2 linked regions of the Arabidopsis thaliana genome follow. The protein of the gene in region 1 interacts with the protein of each later gene in a pairwise test. Each region holds a gene or a part of one and is shown on either strand. Other genes may lie near its edges.

The links.
Region 2: the proteins of ATJ1 (region 1) and MYB51 interact in a two-hybrid assay, tested with the Arabidopsis thaliana proteins (one study listed by BioGRID).

Annotation. Positions count from the first base shown.
Region 1 is NC_003070.9:9,852,636-9,860,812, reverse strand, and holds ATJ1 (DNAJ heat shock family protein), read right to left. Parts: upstream 6,297-8,177; 5' UTR 6,216-6,296; coding exon 6,198-6,215; intron 6,078-6,197; coding exon 6,020-6,077; intron 5,600-6,019; coding exon 5,558-5,599; intron 5,465-5,557; coding exon 5,373-5,464; intron 5,249-5,372; coding exon 5,165-5,248; intron 5,079-5,164; coding exon 5,040-5,078; intron 4,957-5,039; coding exon 4,846-4,956; intron 4,769-4,845; coding exon 4,733-4,768; intron 4,615-4,732; coding exon 4,527-4,614; intron 4,101-4,526; coding exon 4,036-4,100; intron 3,937-4,035; coding exon 3,874-3,936; intron 3,788-3,873; coding exon 3,715-3,787; intron 3,318-3,714; coding exon 3,226-3,317; intron 2,793-3,225; coding exon 2,721-2,792; intron 2,165-2,720; coding exon 2,108-2,164; intron 1,964-2,107; coding exon 1,915-1,963; intron 1,835-1,914; coding exon 1,765-1,834; intron 1,443-1,764; coding exon 1,353-1,442; coding exon of another isoform or gene 1,349-1,352; exon of another isoform or gene 957-1,348; coding exon of another isoform or gene 929-956; and 4 more. Other genes in the region: PUP3 (purine permease 3), read left to right, coding at 1-68, 145-510. UniProt on the Arabidopsis thaliana protein: Plays a continuous role in plant development probably in the structural organization of compartments.
Region 2 is NC_003070.9:6,387,601-6,391,970, reverse strand, and holds MYB51 (myb domain protein 51), read right to left. Parts: upstream 2,573-4,370; 5' UTR 2,207-2,572; coding exon 2,071-2,206; intron 1,957-2,070; coding exon 1,827-1,956; intron 1,738-1,826; coding exon 945-1,737; 3' UTR 585-944; downstream 1-584. Other genes in the region: AT1G18560 (BED zinc finger and hAT dimerization domain-containing protein), read right to left, coding at 3,966-4,370. UniProt on the Arabidopsis thaliana protein: Transcription factor positively regulating indolic glucosinolate biosynthetic pathway genes.

The sequences.
Region 1 (8,177 bases):
AGTTGATTTTGTGTCTCCTTGCTTCTATTGTCAGCGTCATCGGTATGTTCATCGCTGGTGATTTCAAGGTTAGTCACTCTTTTGAATCTGAAAACATACAAAAGAGTTTTTAACAGAGACTTGAGCCCTTTACTGTTTTTGCAGGCCTTACCAAAAGAAGCAAGAGAGTTCAAGCTTGGAGAGGCATTGTTCTATGTGGTGGCTGTGTTTTCAGCCATCATATGGCAAGGCTTCTTCTTGGGAGCCATTGGATTAATCTTCTCCACATCGTCTCTCGTCTCGGGTATTATGATATCAGTGCTTTTGCCAATTACAGAGGTTTTAGCTGTTATATTCTACCATGAAAAGTTTCAAGCTGAGAAGGGACTTTCTCTTGCTCTCTCCCTTTGGGGCTTTGTCTCTTACTTTTATGGTGAGATAAAGTCTGGCGAGGATAAAAGGAGAATTCAGCAGGAGGAGAGTCAGGAGACAGAACAATCTTCTTTGTCAAGACCCATAAGTGAGTGTTAAAACTCAACGAAGCATGGCTTTTCGTTTAAAGACATCATAGCACTCATTTCTCCGCCAAGTAGATTAGAAGATATGTTTGAGAAACTTGTGGGATTATGCCGAAAACACAATCTTAAAGGACTTTTTTTTTTCTTTTCTTTATTTCAGCTTAACTTGTTTGATGTCTCTTATTATTCACATCAAATGAGTTTGTAATAGAATTATGAGGTCAAACAATGACACTCTCTGTTATGCTGGTGAGCTTTTTGTTCTACCAGCAATAGATGAAATTAGTCTTCATTTGTCTTCTGTTGAATGCTTTTATCTTTCATCTCTCGTGGTGGCTTCATCCCATTAACCTGCTCAACAATAGCGCCAGCAGCACCATTAACGAGAAGTCGCGGATGATCTGAGGACCCGTTAGATTCCACCTGTAAGTTCAACCAGTAGAGAGCTTCTGGTAAAGCCTGTTTGGTTCATATTCATGATTCTTCATTACTATAAGGAACAATCGCTAGTGAGGAAATAACATTCAGTTGAATCAAAATGTAAAGAAAAAGCCCCAACAGACATTTTGGCTTTCTTACACTGTTTCCCTTAGAGCTTCTAGTTATTTCTTATAAGAGAACCTAGGTATCTCATTTTTCAATTATGTCTTGTTGTTATCTACATATCCGCCTTTTCTAACTCTTATTTCTAAGCAGGCCTAGAAAATGTACCAGTAATGTATAAGCATCACTAATTCTTCTATTGTAACCAACTACATTCCTTTGAGGTGAATTATACCAGATGTCCATTTACGTCTAACCATCTAATATTACACACAATATGCTGTTATAAACACAATAATAAAATTTACTTACCAACTTCCTTCAGCAGAGTCGCTCAACTCATTGTTGATTTCTTCCTTTGCAAACTCTTCCAGTATAGCACGCTGACGTTCATTCACTTCACTAGTAGATACAAGGAAAAAAGTAAACCGCATAAGCATATACCAGAAATCTATCAATATTAGCTCTTGACGGAAATGAAAAGAAGAGAATCCAACACATCCACATGCCACCAGAACATCAAGAAGCTTATGTAATCAGATTTAATAATCAGACGGCAGGGAAATTAACACAATGTTGTCCTAGGAAAATTATTTCAAAAACCGTAACTTTAGAGCAACAAAGTGTCTTTTCCATTCTAAACACTAGTAGAGTTTTTAGCATAGCATAATGTGGATGTCTCCAACAAGTGTATTACTTGAACTTCAAGTAAAAGAAATCTTACGTAGGAAAGTTAACGCGGAAGCGAACATACTGATCTCCATGATCTACAAAAAAGCCTTGCTTCGGTAGTCCTGCAGGAACTAACCTATTAAGAAGAGTACACGCAAATACACAAAAAAAATTGAACATATAGGCTGATAATTATATGTACCTTTGCCTCTTAAAACAAGAAGTTGATCAGGCTGAGTCCCCTTTGGTATCTGCAACAATTACAATAAGGTACCTCTATTATCTCCAAAGCCTTGAGATCTAACCTTCCTCTTGGTCAGAGGATGAAAACCAACTTGACTCAAATTATAAACAAACAAAATATTATATGAATCTCACTGGGAGACGAATCTTACATCTAGCTGTATCTTGCCTGAAAGTGTTGGCACCACAACTTTGCCCCCCAAAATAGCCTGTCAAATAAGTTTTCTAAGACATGTCCAGTATGGCTCAAGGGAGAAATAGTAGGAACAACGTGAACCATAAGAGATGAAAGGATGCACTATAATAGAAAAATACTGCAGCCGAGGTACTATGGCTTGGTGGCAAAATAGTGCAGTAGCATGCACTTGAGTTTTATGACTGGGGCCATCAAATTGAGTTTGAACCGATATGCCACATTATCTAGTTTAGAGAATAAGCGCATCATATACATAATGATAAAGATGCTACTAGCTAATATTATTAAACCTAGTAGTTTAGTAAACTTTTGGCACATAAACCAGTTGAATAGGACAAAACTCATTAATTTTCAGCTAGACTCCAGATAACTTTTCTCTAGTTTATGTCCTCTAAGAGGTTTTATTTTATCATAGGACATGCCTAAATTATGTTACTGCAGAGCTTTATCAGCTAGCAGTTAAGGCTTTTGAGTTTTGACCACAAAGTGTCACCATGCAGAAAAAACATGAGTTTCGAAGGTACTGCTCTGCTTATAACCCAAAATTCAGGATTCACCAGTGTGCTTACTTGTGTAAAGCTAATATTAGCATCCACATATATATCTGAGCCATCCCTAGTGAAAGTTGAATCATTAGCAACCTGTGACCAAAAGAAGATTAGATACGTGTCAATAAAGGAAAATTCAGCATGCAGTAAGACCCTAAATGAGGCAAGAATGATGATAGAATTGAAGAATACTTTACAAGAGAGCATGAACAATTGATTCACTGGATGTAATAAGTCTTGATTATATAGTGACGCAACAAACAAAGTAGAGTAGCAATCACATATAAATCTGTGAACATTGGTTTAGATCATTTTTGAAATGAATTCGTTCAAAGTCAATATATGACTTATAACATGACTTTGCCACTTATATTAACTGTTTTATCTCTTAGGTTAAATTGATCAATGGACTTAAATGGTAGACCAATCATCAACGTCAAGGGTGAGTTTGATTCAAACTTCTCTAGGCACGTCTTACAAAATATACAAGTACAAATTTGAAGAAAATACAGATGCTTTAACAAACCTTTAGTTTGATATACAAGTTCCCAGGTTGACTTGTTCTTGAACTTACATTACCAGCACCTACGATTGTGATTGTAGCTTCAGACTCCACCCCTGTGGTCAAGTACAGAGAGAAGAAAGCAAATTAAAGTTTGACAGAATTTTGTCATCAAAAACCTATTTCACTATCTAATCCACCAAAGTCATGTAAGATGATAATCGGAAATCACAATCCCAAATTCATTGTTTCATCTTTGCCCCAAAATACCAAGCACAGAATTAACCAGAAAATGTAAATTGCCAAGCATAATCTTAGAAAAGAAAAAGAAAAGCCAGTCAAACAATAAGTGTGACCGATATCTAAATTGGATTACATCTAAACCACACAAATCCTCAAAGAAAGGAACGTAACAGAGTGAATGAAATCTTGCTACTCGTTCCATAGCAGACAGACATGTTTGGAATCAAAACCAAGTTAAAGATAAACAAAAGCATGAAGATTTAGACTAACCTCCAGGGATCACAAGTTCAGCTGTCTTTGTGCCTTCCACAATACCTGATCCTCTACAAGACATGCAGTATTCCTGAAGAAATAAACACATATATACTCGTAACCAGTGCCAGAGAGATAACTACTGAAGCGTCAATAAAGTAGCTCTTTTTCTCAAACCTTAATAATGTGTCCCGTCCCCTTGCACGTCTGGCATGATGCTGTAAAAGGAGGAATAGTTACCTGTTAAAGAGACAGACAGCATAGTACTGTAAATAGAAATTGTATGATTTATTAACCCTCCAAAGAAAATAAAACTTATATCCTCTAAATGGTACTTACTCGTCCAACCCCCCTGCATGTTGGACAAATGCTCATGGCAGCATCGCTAGGGTGGCCAAGCCCATCTGTAAAATGATAAACAATGCGAGATTGGGATTCATGGTTTTGCAACAATATTACTTTCACCCAACTGAGTTTACTCGTCCTCTCAAAGTTGGCTGAATCAGTAACTTTTTAAAGACAGAAGGCTGTAAATGTTACAAGAATAAAATTAAAAAAAGAAAAAAAAAAAAGAGACAACAAACTGTAGATACATGTACATTAACATCGATGGATCACAGAGCCATTTCCAGAAGTCTATTCTTCGTTAAGAAAAATATTTTACCATTTTGGGCAACTGAATAATAATGTACCATGACGAGTTAGGACTCCTAATTTAAAGTGTCTATACTCTCAAGTATCTTTACAGGAAATCTTGCGAGCCATGACTGGCTTGTCAATATTAGTAAATGCAAAAGAGACAATATAAGAAAACTTCTGTGGCCACTCACCACAGGAATCACAAAAGACATATGCATCAAAAGACAAACGTTTTGTGCACCCTTCTGCAGCTTCGGAAAGAGAAAGCGACAGTTCCACCTATTCAATTTTTAACAATATAAACATGTGTATTACTGAAGAGCCCTACACAACAAGATTTATATAAGTCAACCAGATTCCAGTTGTATAAATAAAAGAGAGAATCAGAGAAACTGACCCGAATATCAGGTTTTATCTGATTGTTCTCAAATATCTGAATAAAGTTTACTAATGTTAGAGATTTAACTAATCACATAAAAAGATGAGCAAAAGGGAAACATAATAATGTACCTCAGAAAAAATCTTGTGGAAAGTATCCGAGAAATTGGACTGGTATGCACGTCTGAACCTCTCTGAATCACCACCGTCATTATTTACATAATCCGAATTCCGATACTGCAGCTGGATCGAGTGATAACATCAAGAAATATATTTAGTGATCTCGCCACCAGATAAATAAGAATAAAAACAACAAAAAAGCGTACCTTATCATATTCTTCTCTTCTTTCCGAATTTCCCAGGGTCTACAGTTTTTTAATCCAACACAAAAGTATATCAGAAGATACATTCAAAATACACAGATGATGGCAGATGGAAAAGAAAAAACTACCTCATATGCCTCTCTTATTTCCTGGAACTTCCTTTTTGCTGACGGATTATTTCTATTTGTATCAGGGTGGAATTTTTTCGCAAGCTGCAACAATTGTGCATTCACTCATCAATTTTGAGCAGACAACTTTTACTAATAGTTTTTGCTTGATGTAAAAAAATGTTTAAAGCTGAAGAACAGTCCACTAACAATGAGCCGAAAGACTCACCTCATGAAATGATTTTTTAATCTCCTCCCGTGTAGCTTTAGGAGAAACACCGAGAACATCATAGTAATTACGAGCACTGGAGTTGTTTATACCTGAGAACCATTATCCAAAACCAAAAGCATTTAATGAATAAAATGATACAAAACATCATTTTATTCATTAGCGTGAATGCAAAAAAACAAGACCTGTAGCGTGAATGTATCGCTCGAACAACGGCTTCTGAGACCCTGCAAAGAGTCAAAACTTCCAAGTAATGAATGCATATTTCCTATAGTCTGTAGATAAACACAAACATCAACTGGAAATTCCCTCATGCCCCTAATGTTAGCTACCACGGAGACCTCGAGATTACATTTCGATTCTTTAAAATCAACTCTTGAGTTACCTTTAATAGTGCCCAATACTTTGATACCCCTTCCTGATAAACCCTAAAACCCCATTTCAGCTAAAATTATCACTACATTAGAAATTCTAATAAACCCCAAAAAACTTGACATTGTCGTTGGTCTGTTGCATATACACCTAAATCAGCTCAGAGAAGGCGATAAACCTCGAAGAGCATATGAATGTCAGTTTTTGATTCCTTTTTGAAACAAGCAAAAATTGACGAAATCAATAACCCTAGTTTAACAACTTTTATACATTACCTTGACGCAATCCGATCGCGGAATCAAAAGTTCTTCGAGCTTGTACATGCCGCAGAACCTACGATATAAACATAAATTACAAAATGATTTCAGCTCTCTCGAGGACTCAATTTCAAAATTGAAAGGAAGAAGAAGAAAACGATGAAGCTAAATCTAGAGAGGGATGAAGAAAACAAACCCAGTTGAATCTTCGCATGACTCTTGTGAATTCAAAGCTAAACAGAGAGGAAAAAACGGAGAGGTTTTTGATTTTGAGAGTTAAACCCTTAGACCATTTCCATGATAAATTCCAAACAAACATAAATCAAAAATATTAAAATAATAATTTTTTAATCAGTTTTTTTTAGAATATTTTCTGAAATGAGAAACTTGGAGAAATTTTATCTCTCTTCCAAATGTCATCTTGTCATTAATTTCTTTTCTTTGTTATAAATAAAATCATTTATATTTTATAACATCAATTAAATACTTTATATGTTTATTTTTTTTTTTTTTTTTACTTTTAAAATTCATAAAATTAAATTATCTATATAACAAGCTCTATTATATATATGTTTAAATTATATACGAATATTATTTAATTGGTGTTAGTTAAGCATTAAACATAATAATAACTTATAAATACAATAGTTTTTTTTTAATTAGAAAACAAACATTTAAAATTTTCTATTTTTATTTTACAACATTTTTGGCAATCGAATTCGACTTCGTGATAGAGATATGCACCAACAACTAAAAGATGACCTAGTTGAGCATATATGACAAAAGTTTGGTGCATTATCAAATGAAGAGTAAAACCATAATAGATAATATAGTTAGTTTTGATTTATGTTATCATGGTTTTATATGTAATTTCTGTGTAATTTATATATTTTTTCTATTTAATTTATGTTATCATGGTTTTATATGGAATTTTATGTTTAATTGATATATTTTTTATTATGATTTTATATGTAAAGTAATGTTTAATTATGTTTAATTATGTTTAATTATGGTTTTAAAAATAATAAAACTATTTAATAATATAATTGTAAAAATAATAATTGATATGTTTGAAAATATTGTAGAGATTTTAAATTTAATATAAAAAACATATAATAATATGTTAATGTTAATGAGATACTCATAAGAGTATTTCACCAATGGAAGCACAATTTTAGTATAAGTTTCTCTACTTAAATTAAAATATTAATAATATATTATGAGGTACTCATGGAGTATCTCACCAATGGAGATGCTCTTACGCATATGCTGACGAGAGACGAGAGAAGAGACGTTCGCTAAATCTTTTGCTTTCTCGCCACTACGTCCAGAGTCTCTCTCTGGTTCAGAAGACTCGAAATGGGTTAAACACGTATTCTCTCATTCTCCGTAGTTAATTAATTTAGTGAAACGGTAAAAACAAAATGGTAAAAAATTGGCGGTCGTTATTTTGTAGCGGTAAAGAAAATAGTGAGTTAGACTATTTACAAGTTAACTGTTTGAATTAAAAGTTGAAAGTGATTTGGAAAAAGATGTTGTAGAATTTCTTCAACACCGTTAATTTTGTGAATAAAATCCTTGTACACATATAGTCTTAGAAAATTTGGAAAAAGGTTTGATAAATGTAACTTAGATGCTGCTTGGATTATAAAAAGTAAGCTTTATGGATACGGACTTGAGTTCCCAAGATCATTTAGGTTCAATCTGATTTTGAGGTTTATATAAGAAGCTTCATTTAAACCGTTGAGTGTTTGAGCTATATGAAACTTCAAAAAAATGTCATTCGTTTAAATACCATCAAGAAGAATGTGAATCAACTTTTCTTTTTGGATGAAAACTAGTTTTTTGATATGGTAACTATGTTTTCAACACAACAAAATTTTATCGTCGAATGTCCGAAATGATAAAGACACTCTTAACCTTCATCGGAAAAAATAGCAATTTTTTGTGGTATATCAATAGCGGTTACAATCTAACTTGTTTTGTTGTTGTTATTATGATTAGAACTGTCAATTGGGTGGACCGCATGTGGGTTTTTACAGTCCAAATACACACGGACGGATTATGGTCTGGACTCCAAACTAAAAAACATAAACCAAGCAATCAAAAAGTTAGAATAAGATATTTTTTAGTTAAAACAAAAATCGTAAGTGAAGAAGGTCTGAATTTCTTGAGG
Region 2 (4,370 bases), 3.5 Mb from region 1:
TTCTTATCCTTTTTTTTTTTTTGGTATCAACTTCTTCTTATCTTTAACCCTCGGAACATTCAAAGAATGATCCTCTCGCTTGCTTTAAATTTATGTGGGTCTCATTGCTGAATATTATTCGTATGTTGATAGGGTGAATTTTATATACATTAGAGAATGAAAGATTTAAGTCACAAAATAAGTTAATCGTTGGTTTTTTTTTTAATATACAAAACTGGTTGAGGATATATTTCTTTACCAATCTGCTCAATCTATTAGCCCTAACTCATAAAATAAACCAGAGCATCTCCATCCATACAATTTTTAGAGTTTCTTTTGATAAAGATAATATAAATAATTAATAAATGAGGAGAGAGAATGACAAAAAATGAAGAAACGTTTCTTGAGAAATTTTGGAATAATCAGTGAAAGACTATTTCTATAAGTGTTTGCTTATAATTGAATATTTTTTTTAAAAAAAAATAATTACAAAATTAAATTACAGTAATTTTTTATTTTATTTTAAAACCTTTTAAAGTATCTTACAGATGAAGATGACCTAATAGTGGAATACTGCCAATTAAAATTTAAAATAGCAATGGTACTAGTAGTTAGCAGCAGCAGCAGCTAATGAATGATTTTTCAAAATAAAGCAATCTCATATTCGGATGGATACAAATTCTGATAACCAACACAATAAAAGTACTAAAGTTAACAACTCGTTAACATTATAATTATTACATCACCATTTATAATCCATTTACAACGAAACAACACACTTCAGACCAAAAAAAAAAAACACAAAAACACAAGCATATGTGACAACACGAACTACATTCATGATTCATGCATGGTCATCATCACCATCATTATTTATTATTATTACCATCAACATCATCAAGGTAACATATCCATAGACATCATATTGACATGGTCACGTGGGATTCATCGATTATGAGTTTCACTCATCCAAAATAGTTATCAATTTCGTCAAACAAGTCTTGACGTTCATAGACCGGCGTCACATCAACGACGTCGTTTTCATCCTCGTGAAGAAACCTCGTAAGTTCTTTCATGAACGCAGTGTTTTCAACACAAGACTCCTCCAACATCATGAAATCTTCATCATTCAGAAATGTGGAGAACCCGATAGTATCCTCATCATCAACGTTGTTATTACCAACGAAATTATCGCAGTACATTAGAGGATTGTTAACGGAGGAATCAGAGAACGTGGACGAAGAACACGTCAGATTAACGTTACCATCAACGTCAAAGTTCGATGAAACTGGTGTTGTTGCAACGGTCCCATGGCAGAGAAGATTCGAGGTTGGTGCGAAGGAAGAACTCGTTGACTTAACTGATTCAGAGTCAACGGAAACACTTGTAGTTGTAGTATTAGTAGTGTGACTAGTAGAAGCAAGTGGGCCTCCACTTCCGATAATCTCAGACAGAACACTCTGATTGATTCTCTTTCCGAACCTATTAGCTACTTTGTTCAAGAAACTAGCCGATGATAATCCAAAATTCTTGTTGTTCTTCTTCGCCTTGTCATTATCAAGATCATGGTCACTAGTTGTCAGATTAACATTTTGTTTCTCCGGGAGGTTTTCTGATTTGTCGGTACCGGAGGTTATGCCCTTGTGTGTAACTGGATCAATACCTTTCTTGATCAAACGTTTTTTGATATGAGTGTTCCAGTAGTTCTTGATCTCGTTATCGGTTCTTCCTGGTAGTCCACGAGCTATAGCAGACCATCTGATTAAAACCACATATAAGATTACAATATTAGTAAATGTTAATGCAAACAAAAAATAAGTATAAAATGTAGAGGTAGAGAGACTAACTTGTTGCCGTGAAGGGCGTGAAGAGAGATGATTGAACGTTCTTCGTCTTCAGTGAACTCTCCTCTTTTGATGTCAGGTCTAAGATAATTGGCCCATCTCAGTCTGCAGCTTTTGCCGCATCTCTTGAGTCCTATCCAATTAGAAGAATTATTTAAGTAAAATAATTGAGCAATAATGACCAATAAAGGTCCAACATTGAATATTCAAACATGACGGAATAAACATAATAAAAAATAATACATACCAGCTTTTTCGGGGAGAGTTCGCCATCCACCTTCACCGTGGCGGTTAAGGTAAGAGAGAAGCTTCTGATCTTCCTCGGGAGTCCAAGCTCCTTTCTTTAACCCTAGTTCAGCTTTGCAACACGGTGTCCGCACCATTCTTGATTCTTCAAACTTAGCTTTCTTGATCGAGTTCAAAGGGGGTTGTTCTCAAGTGAAACAAAGAGGGACAAAAAAACACAAAAAAAAAAACTGAGAGGTGAAACAAAGTGTGAAATGGGGCGTATGATCATAGAGATTGAGCACAAGATCTTTTGATTAAAGAATTCAGACATCGGTAGATTCTTCGAATAGACATCTTGTTCTTTTGTGATACTCGAGATCGTTATAACATTGAACGAGCAGAGGAGAAGAGAGATCTAGTTGCTCTGTTTTCTTACCACAAAGAGAGACACAAAGAGAAGGTTTTATAGAGAGAATCTTTTTTTCTCTAAAGAGAACTGTTTGTGTTACACTTTGCAAAGTGGGAAACTTATAGGAAAGAGCCCATCTCTATTTATGCTTGCCTGAGGCTGTACGTGTGGCTGCTGCCAACGTCGTCGTTTAAATATGACTGACACATGGCTCATTATGATTCCTTAACGCAATTTTTTATAATCGGATTATTACATAAAAGAAAAACTGCTAACTTTTGTCAGTGGACATTTTGACACTAGACTTTTGATCTTTCTTAAACTAATTTATTTTATTTTGATTGTCAATAAAAAAATACTACGAAGACATCTATTATATAATATCATTTTTCATAATCCCATGCATAAGAACCGCCACATCTGATATGATATTGATAGTAGCAAAAAAAGGGGAAAAAATAGAATGAATATAGCAAAGGTTGCTAAAAAAAAAGAATGAATATCAAGCATGCAAAATATGTAACGTAAAATTGTCTTGCCTATGTAAATAGCTAATTACGTATCAATTTATTTTGAAATCTATGTCTGCTATGCAAATAGTTTTGATTATGCAATCCAAAATATAAAATTTATTGAAGAATTATAATACGGCGCCGGCAGGTCCGGAACACCAATTAAATTAAAATCCTGTTGAACTTTCTCTTCGATCTTTGGAGATATTTTGTATTGACCCGATTCTTGACCAAAATTTTATTTTAGTTTTTTGGTATTGACCGTCGGTCCAAAGTATATATGAAACTATAATTTCTCAGCAAGTTTTTAATTTTATAACGAGTAAAAAAAAAGCTTTATTGAAATTGGCAACAAATTTTAACCAATGTAAAAAAACATTTTGAATTTATCAGAAGAGTTAAAAAATGTCTATCGAAATGAAAAACCACAAAGGTACGTTTCCATGACAGAATGAATTCAACTTTAAAACTTGGAGTGCGAGGACTTTTCAAAATACGACTGAACTCTTAGTATTTTTTTCTCTCAAATATTTAAATATGCTTAAACAATCATAGAGACGACAAAATTATAAAGAAACAATTGGCAAACTAGCACACGAATTGAAAATTCGAGGAAGGTAAGGTAGAGAGGTACAACACAAAAGTAGTCGTATTTGAACTAGATTAAATTAAAGCAACAACTTGGTCACTCAAACACTGGACTTGGACATATCGATATCCATTATACCAAGGAAAAATCTAAGGTACAAAGAAAGAGATAAGCTATTTTCTTTTTTCGTACAACTAATTTCCACTTTTCTAGTTAGACAGAACCCATTAATTAGTCAACATTGTGTTTTTTTTTCTCTCTAATATGATATGAAAGTACATACGGTTATGAAGAAAGCTAACCAGCTTGGTTTACATCAACCCAACTCTAAATTCAATGATTCATGCTAAAAGTATGACAACTAAATTACAGTAGTTCTTTAGTACAAATACTAAAAAATAATCTCACCTATGTTGTTGAATTTTTTCTAAACCTCCGGCAGAATTATCAGCGGCCACGGTGGCAGCTAACTCCATTAGTCGTTCATAGTCAATCTCACTACACTTGTACTTCAGTTTCATACCAGCTTCAATCCATGATCTGATACAAATAACAGATTGTGTGCTATCATGAGGCATGCAATACTTCTGCTTATCAATCTCTTCTCCTTTACCACAAAAGATCTCTTCCGGTGCAGCAGAAGTCGCCTGAACCGCAAGGAAATCCCGAGCCATGTTGGAAAGTCGCGGGTATCTTCCACTGTTTACCTTCCACCAATCAAGCACATCAGTCTGCATTGGAACTATAGACTCTGATAAGTACTGAGTCAGTTCATCAACAACATTGTTACTCATACTTCCTCTTCTTTT